2 linked regions of the Mus musculus genome follow. The protein of the gene in region 1 interacts with the protein of each later gene in a pairwise test. Links are inferred from orthologs where the notes say so. Each region holds a gene or a part of one and is shown on either strand. Other genes may lie near its edges. The genes, in order: Brap and Numa1.

Region 1 (3,814 bases):
TCTCGGGGCTGAGTTTAACCAATAGGCTTATGTGAAGAAAGCATAAATAAGCAAAAATCCAAAGTGCAGGTCTGGAGAGATGGCTCAGCAATCAAGAGTGCTGGCTGCTCTTGGAGGGGATCTTAGTTCAGTCTCTGACCAACCAGTTGGCAGTCATAACTGTAACCACACTTGATGGGGATCAGACGCCCTCTTCTGGCCTCCTCAGGCACTGCATGCATGTGGTACACACACATACAGGCAAAACACCCTCACACATAAAATAAAAATTAATGTAAATCTGTGAGCTTACATTACTGGAATGGAAGAAGAAACTGTTGTACTGTGGCTTTGAGATTGAGGGCCTGAGAAGGAGAGGCAGGAAGGATGCTTTGGTGGAACAGCCTTGATGGAAGAGAAAACAGTTTTGTTTTTGAGGAAGCTGTCCCCATCCCCTAAGCAGCTCGTCAGCATGAGTAGTGCTGGAGCAGGCGGCCTTCCTGTGTTTGGTCTGACGCCCCTGCCGGGACAAACTGAGTTTAGCACTGGAGTCGTCTTGTTGCTTTACACTAAGCCTGATCTGGTGTTGTTTTGCGTTACCTTCTCCACGTCTATTACAATTTATGCCACCATGAAAGAGCAGCTCAGTGTTGAAGGCTGGTTAGTCTGGGTTGTGAACTGCCACATGCGGAACTGAGCCCTGGATCTTTGTGAGAGCAGGCAGTGCTCTCTCACAGCCCCAGGCTAGGACACCTTGATCTGCACGAGGCATCCTGACAGGTGATTGGTGTGGAGTGCTTCCTCAGTCAACTGAAGATGAGCTGGCTTTTCATCCGTACTGCTCCTTATTCTTTAACAAGATGATAAGTTTGGGTTTTGTTGGTTTTTTTTTTGTTTTTTTTTTTTTTGTTTTTTTTTTGAGACAGGATTTCTCTGTGTTATCCTGGATGTCTTGGAACTCACTCTGTAGACCAGAATGATCTTGAACTCAGAGATCTGCCTGCCTCTGCCTCCCAAGTGCTGGGATTAAAGGCCTGTAGAAGGGTGCCCAACTTTTTTTCCTTTCTTTTTTTTTTTTTTCCTCAAATGAATGATGGTTCTTTAAGGGCATCATGTATGTATGTGTGTATGTATGTATGCTTGTATGTATTTATTTATTAGATGTATGTGAGTACACTGTAGTTGTCTTCAGGCACACTAGAAGAGGGCATCAGACCCCATTTCAGATGGTTCTGAGCCACCATGTGGTTGCTGGGAATTGAACTCAGGACCTCTGGAAGAGCAGTCAATGCTCTTAACCATCTCTTCACCCCTAGTCTTCGTCCCCTACTCCATTTTTTCCAATTTTTGTGTGACAGTTACAATTTAGTTCCAGAATTTTAAGAAGTATGTGTCTTCTTCCAAGTGCCTCAAAAATAATGACTACTGGGGAAAGAACTGTCCAGAAACTTGTAGACAGATGGCAGGTTGAATGTTCTCTGCTCAGCACATGGCACTACCTTCTGCCTTGTAAGGCAAACCTCTCAACAGCCTGGACACCGAGCTGCAGAGCTCTGTTGACTTGATGGCTCCAGAGCTTGCTGCTTCTATTGCAAATGTGTGGGGATGTGGGAATGGAGAGTGCATCTTCCATGACCAGCCTTTATTTTCCCCTCTCCCTATGGTATGCACAGGCTGATGCAGACAGTTTCTACATGGCGTGCAATGGCCGCCAGTTCAACTCAATCGAAGATGACGTCTGCCAGCTGGTCTATGTGGAAAGGGCTGAAGTGCTGAAATCTGAAGATGTAAGTGTGAAGTCTTCTTACATCTGATGAAATGTTGATCCGTACAGAATTGAATGTTAAGATGCTTGCCAAACATCAGGAATAGGCCTTCCTGTAAAGACTGAGAGTAGAAACAAGATGGGCTCTGGGGTCTGGGAGAAAAGGGGAGTGGGAGGGGCCAGCAAACAGATGTAGAGGTTCTTCTGGGCTAATGGATTGTTGACGGATGGTGGTGCGGGATGTAGGATGAATGGAGTAGTTAGCGTGGACATACTAAAATCCACCCAGTTTAAAATGGAGAGTCTTAGCACTGAATAGGGAGGGGCATGAATTCACAGGTGGTTTGGCAAGGTCAAAGCTAACACTGCAAGGTCCTTCTTAAAAAACAAACATACGAAAAAATGTTATATCTCAGTTTTTAAAGATTTATTTATTATTTATTTTATGTATATGAGTACATTGTAGCTATCTTCAGACACACCAGAAGAAGGTGTCAGATCTCATTACAGATGGTTGTGAGCCATCATGTGGTTGCTGGAAATTGAATCAGGTCCTCTGAAAGAGCAGTCAATGCTCTTAACCACTCAGACATCTTTCCTGCCCATTATATCTCTCATCTTTAAGATGTAGAAAACAGGTTTGGTAGCACATGCATGTGACCCTAGCACTCAGGAAGCAGAGGTAAGAGACTATTGAGTTGGAGGCCAACCTAGGCTATATAATAAGGTCCTGTCCCCAAATCAAAGAAAAGATTTCTGCCCTGTTAAAACTATCCCAGAACGATGGAGTACAGTTTGGAGCAGAAAGAAGCATATTTGTTCAAACTATTAACCCCAATCTCCATCCTAGCTTTTTGTTTTAGGGTTTCTCTGTGTAGCCCTGGCTGTCCTGAATCTTGCTGTGTAGACCATGCTAACCTTGAACTCACAGAAATTCATCTGCCTCTGCCTCCCTGGTACTAGTATTAAAGGCCTGTGCTACCATGCTTAGTTTTTTGTTTTGTTTGTTTAAGGCAGGCTGTCCTAGAACTCACTATGTAGAGTAGGATGGCCTCGAACTCATAGAGATCCTCCTGTCTCTGTCTCCTGAGTGCTAAGGTTCAGTCTTGCTGACTACATGTTCTGGCTCTCATCTGCAGCAGGGCAGCTCCCTCGGAGCCTGGCCTGTACTACTGGCTCACTAGGCCATTTATAGTAAATAGCAGACTTGGCTCTGGAGGCCAGAGAGCCTCCATGATGCTGTAAGATTCTCTTCCTTTTCAAGGAGATCTTAATAGCCAGGCTTTCTCACGATTTTAATCCTAGTATTTGAGGCAGAGGAAGGCAGATCTCTGAGTTTGAGTCCAATATCTCCTCTACAAATAGAGTTCCAGAACTGTCAGGGTTTCACACTCAGCAGATAAAGGTATTTCCTGCCACAGAGCCTGTGAACTGAGTTCAGTGCAGGGAACCCATGTGGGTAAAGGAGAGAACTAACTTGTGAACGTTGTTCTTGGGCTTCCACATGTGTGTAATACATGTACACACACACACACGTGCACACATATATTCTAAATATAATGTAACTTATTTTTTAATTAACTATTTTGTTTTTTTTTTTTTTCAAGACAGGGTTTCTCTGTGTATCCCTGGCTGTCCCGGAACTCCCTCTGTAGACCAGGCTAGTCTCGAACTCACAGAGATCAGCCTGCTTCTGCCTCCTGGGTGCTGGGATTAAAGGCATGTGCCACCACTCCCCAGCCCATAAAAATGTAATTAAAAAAAATTTAAAATAGACCCTAAACTAGACCCAGAAGCTGGCCGTAGTGATGTAGGCCTGGAATTTGAGCATTCAGGAGGTAGAGTCCAGAGGCTGAAGAGATGGCTTAGCACTTAAGCTGCTTCCTGCTCTTGTGGGGGACACAGGTTCAGGTTTTCAGCTCCCTATATGGCAGCTCACATTGCCCTGTGACTCAAGTTCCAGAGGATCCAGTGTCATCTTCTGATACTTACTGGCTCATGCATGCATCTGGACTATGCACGTGTGCACACACACACACACACACACACACACACACACACACACATTTA
Region 2 (3,814 bases), on another chromosome or scaffold:
GCACTAGTTCCTAGGTTCAGTTTCCAGTCCAGCACCTCAAAATGGGCGGGGGGTGGGGGGGGGCTTTTTTGTTTGTTTGTTTTTTTCGAGACAGGGTTTCTCCGTGTAGCTCTGGCTGTCCTGGAACTCACTTTGTAGACCAGGCTGGCCTCGAACTCAGAAATCTGCCTGCCTCTGCCTCCCGAGTGCTGGGGTTAAAGGCGTGCTCCACCACGCCTGGCTTGACATTTTTGTAGTTCTTGATTTACCCTAGTCACATTTTCCCAGTCAGTAGGTGAATGGCTAATGACAAGACAGAATAGGACCAATTCCTCCATCCCAGAAAGTTCTGTGGAAAAAAACTTTCCCCACCTTGGTAAGGGAGATAGGGTCTAATTATGCAGCCCAGAGCACTGGGATTACTTGGCATGTGCCATAATGACCAGCACTTAACACTTTTAATGCTTCTAATCTTGTTACCATCTTTGTTCCAGTGTTTGCTTTTTGTAGCTCTAAGCTTCCCATCCCTTAGTTAAGGGCAAAGGATCAGGGACTAGTTCCACTGGGACTGTGTAGCACATAGTGGGTCCCAGGTAGTGGATCTCTGAGCTTCCTTGCCCATGGACTGTTGAACAACAGTGAACAGTAAGTAGGTCCATCATGCTCCTTTTGAGGGTGGTTATGAGCTAGCAGATGTAGGAGAGTGTAGGTGGGATGCAGCCACCCAGTACCTGTAGTGAACAAAGCTGATACTGCAGGTTAACAGAATTACCTGCGAGCCTGCTCTTGAGGAGTTATGGTCCCCTTAGGAGGCAATGCTGGCATCGTAAGTGAACCAGCATCCACAGTTGTGGATTAGGTGGATGACCTTGGTCAGTTTGTCTAAATCTCTGATCTCTTTTTTCCTCTCTAAAACAAGGATAAAAGTTATTTCTTGGAGTGGTTTGGAGAAGTGAGTTCCTGACATTGACATGCATATGCAGTTGTCTCCCACTGTGCTCTCTATACCACGGTATTCTCTGAAGATCAGATTCTGTTCCCTTGGGAGAGATACTTGGTGCTTGGCCTCATATATGGCAGCAGAACTGTGAGACACATTAGAGCCAGCAGATGGTCTGGGAGGGAGAATGTAATTGTTTTGTAGGCTGCAGTTGGAGGGAATGTGTGTATTGGGCCAAGGTGTCCTAAGAGTCCTGAGACTATATTAGAGGAGTCTGCAGTACCTGTGGAGACTGAGCAGCAAGGGTAGGCCAGTGGGTTTGGGTAGAGTAATCAGAATTTCCTTGTTTTGATTGACTTCTCAGGCTTTCCAGGCCCAGAGAGGTGAAAGCCAGCAAGAGGTCCAGCGCCTCCAGACCCAGCTGAACGAGCTGCAGGCCCAGCTGAGCCAGAAGGAGCAGGCAGCTGAGCATTACAAGCTCCAGGTGAGGGGCCAGGAACGTCCTGCTCTGCCTTTCTTCCTGACCCTTTCTAGGCTCTGCCACACACACCCTGTCTGTCCACACAGATGGAGAAAGCCAAGACCCATTATGATGCCAAGAAGCAGCAGAACCAAAAGCTGCAGGAACAGCTTCAAGACTTGGAGGAACTGCAGAAGGAGAACAAGGAGCTGCGGTCTGAAGCTGAACGTCTGGGCCGTGAGCTGCAGCAGGCAGGGCTGAAGACCAAGGAAGCTGAACAGACCTGCCGTCACCTTACAGCCCAGGTGCGCAGCCTGGAGGCCCAGGTAAGAACCTACTTTAAACAGAAGCACCTCACCCCTGTACTGTTGTACTCCATATCTCCTCTCCAAGGCCACCCCTACTCTAGGCTTTTTATTTTACTTCCTAGGTTGCCCATGCAGACCAGCAGCTTCGTGACTTGGGCAAATTCCAGGTGGCAACTGATGCCTTAAAGAGCCGTGAGCCTCAAGTGAAACCCCAGCTGGACTTAAGTATTGACAGCCTGGATCTGAGTTTGGAGGAGGGAACCCCATGCAGTGTGGCTAGGTTAGGAGACATGCCTCTCTATCCTGTGCCTGTTCACTGAGTGTGCGCTGTTCTAGCCTGTGGTTCTTCTACGACAGATGCCTGCTTAGGGTACAGTAGAAGTGAAAAAGAGGTGAGGTGGGGCAGTTAGGAAAGCCTTGGGGGAAGCTTTTCTGAGTTTTGATAAACTGTACAGCTATGCAGAGGTGGATGAGCAGCCTTTAATGCGAGGCCAAGTAGGCCTGCGAGCCTAGAGGCTGACTGCACTAAAGACTGATAAACTTCAGAAGTGCTGAAATTGAGGACTACAGGTTGGATTTGCATCTTAGTTTCCTGACAGTATTGAAGTCAAAGGTTAGCAGTACAGTTACTGTTTCTATCAAATGTGTACTGTACTGTGTGCCAGTGTTCCCAGTTCTTGGAACAATTACAACTTCAGCTTTCTCCTAGCAACCATTTTAGGCTCTATTCATTATCTCTCCTTAAACAGATAGAATTGGGCTTTTGGGGGATCCACAGTGATAGAGCCAGGTCTGAGCCTGGCAGCCTGTCCTGAGTTCTTGCTTATCACTACTTTATAGTGTCTCATGGCAGTCTAGGTCTAGGTGAGATGAACTGAGGCTGAGGGAAGGGAGTGTGCAGCTAGGAGAGCTTCTTGGATGTTGACCATGGTTGTGTATGGTAGAAGATGTCCAATTACACCCATGTTCATGTGAAGGTGTCCCTACTTAGTAAAGTAGGAGATAGAGGAGGAAGAACATGCAGAGGGGTTTAGGGTAGGCCCCATTAATTGTCGAGCAGTTGTGGCATCTGCTGGGGGGGAGGTCTGGGCCCATAGCTGTCTGACCTGAAGAGCAGGGTTTGGGCTAAGGTAGAGAGATCTGAGAGCTGCTATAGGAAAGGGTTAGGAGCAGCCAAGAGTGGACTGTCAAGGCCCCCTTTTGCTATCTCTGAAAGACCAGTGGTACTGTATTTTACCACATTTACCTGTAATAAGATTAAGTCAGTTTGGGGCAAGGAGACAGACATAATGTCTTCTAGCTCAGGGTCTGCATCTCGGCAAATGTCTTTTGCTACAGCAAGCTGCCTCGTACCCAACCAGATGGTACCAGTGTCCCTGGAGAGCCAGCTTCACCTATCTCCCAGCGCCTGCCCCCCAAAGTGGAATCCCTGGAGAGCCTCTACTTCACCCCCACTCCTGCTCGGGGTCAGGCCCCCTTGGAGACTAGCCTTGACTCTCTGGGGGATGCCTTCCCTGACTCCGGCCGTAAGACCCGCTCTGCTCGCCGCCGTACCACACAAATCATCAACATCACTATGACCAAGGTTAGGTTATTGGGCATAGGACTATTGGATATTAACACCAGTTCCTTATCCAGGGCTCATAAATCAGGAACACTCAGGTATGAACAACATCTTTTAAAAGGGCATAGATTTGTTTATGGTCTCTTTTCTTCTTAGATTGATTTTATATATACAATTGCTCAGTTTTCATGCACATCAGAAGACTGAGTCAGATCCTATTACAGATGGTTGTGAGCCACCATGTGGTTGCTAGGAATTGAACTCAGCCAGAGTCCTCTCTCCTGTCTGACGGAAGACAGAGCAGGATAGAGGAAATAACAGCTCATTCCGAGCCTCTGGCACGCCATGCAGCCAGGATGTAGCTTGGTGTGGCTCTCAATGGTCTGCTGCTTCTAGGCTTAGATTCTCTTTTTTTCCCTGTCTCTAGTGGGCTGAGGAACAGGTGGGAAGGTGCTTTTATGCCCTCTACTACTGAGAATTTGGGGATAATTAGTTTAGGCCCCAGGAACCGTGGGTCTAGGGACAGCAGAGGTTGTGGGCTGAATCCATCTAGATAGCTTAGG

What was found.
Region 2: the proteins of Brap (region 1) and Numa1 interact in a two-hybrid assay, tested with the Homo sapiens proteins (2 studies listed by BioGRID and IntAct). The link is inferred for Mus musculus from reciprocal best matches to the Homo sapiens genes BRAP and NUMA1.

What each region holds. Positions count from the first base shown.
Region 1 is NC_000071.6:121,670,433-121,674,246, forward strand, and holds part of Brap (BRCA1-associated protein), read left to right. Parts: intron 1-1,652; coding exon 1,653-1,766; intron 1,767-3,814. UniProt on the Homo sapiens protein: Negatively regulates MAP kinase activation by limiting the formation of Raf/MEK complexes probably by inactivation of the KSR1 scaffold protein.
Region 2 is NC_000073.6:102,007,808-102,011,621, forward strand, and holds part of Numa1 (nuclear mitotic apparatus protein 1), read left to right. Parts: intron 1-1,283; coding exon 1,284-1,403; intron 1,404-1,486; coding exon 1,487-1,705; intron 1,706-1,809; coding exon 1,810-1,967; intron 1,968-3,025; coding exon 3,026-3,272; intron 3,273-3,814. UniProt on the Homo sapiens protein: Microtubule (MT)-binding protein that plays a role in the formation and maintenance of the spindle poles and the alignement and the segregation of chromosomes during mitotic cell division.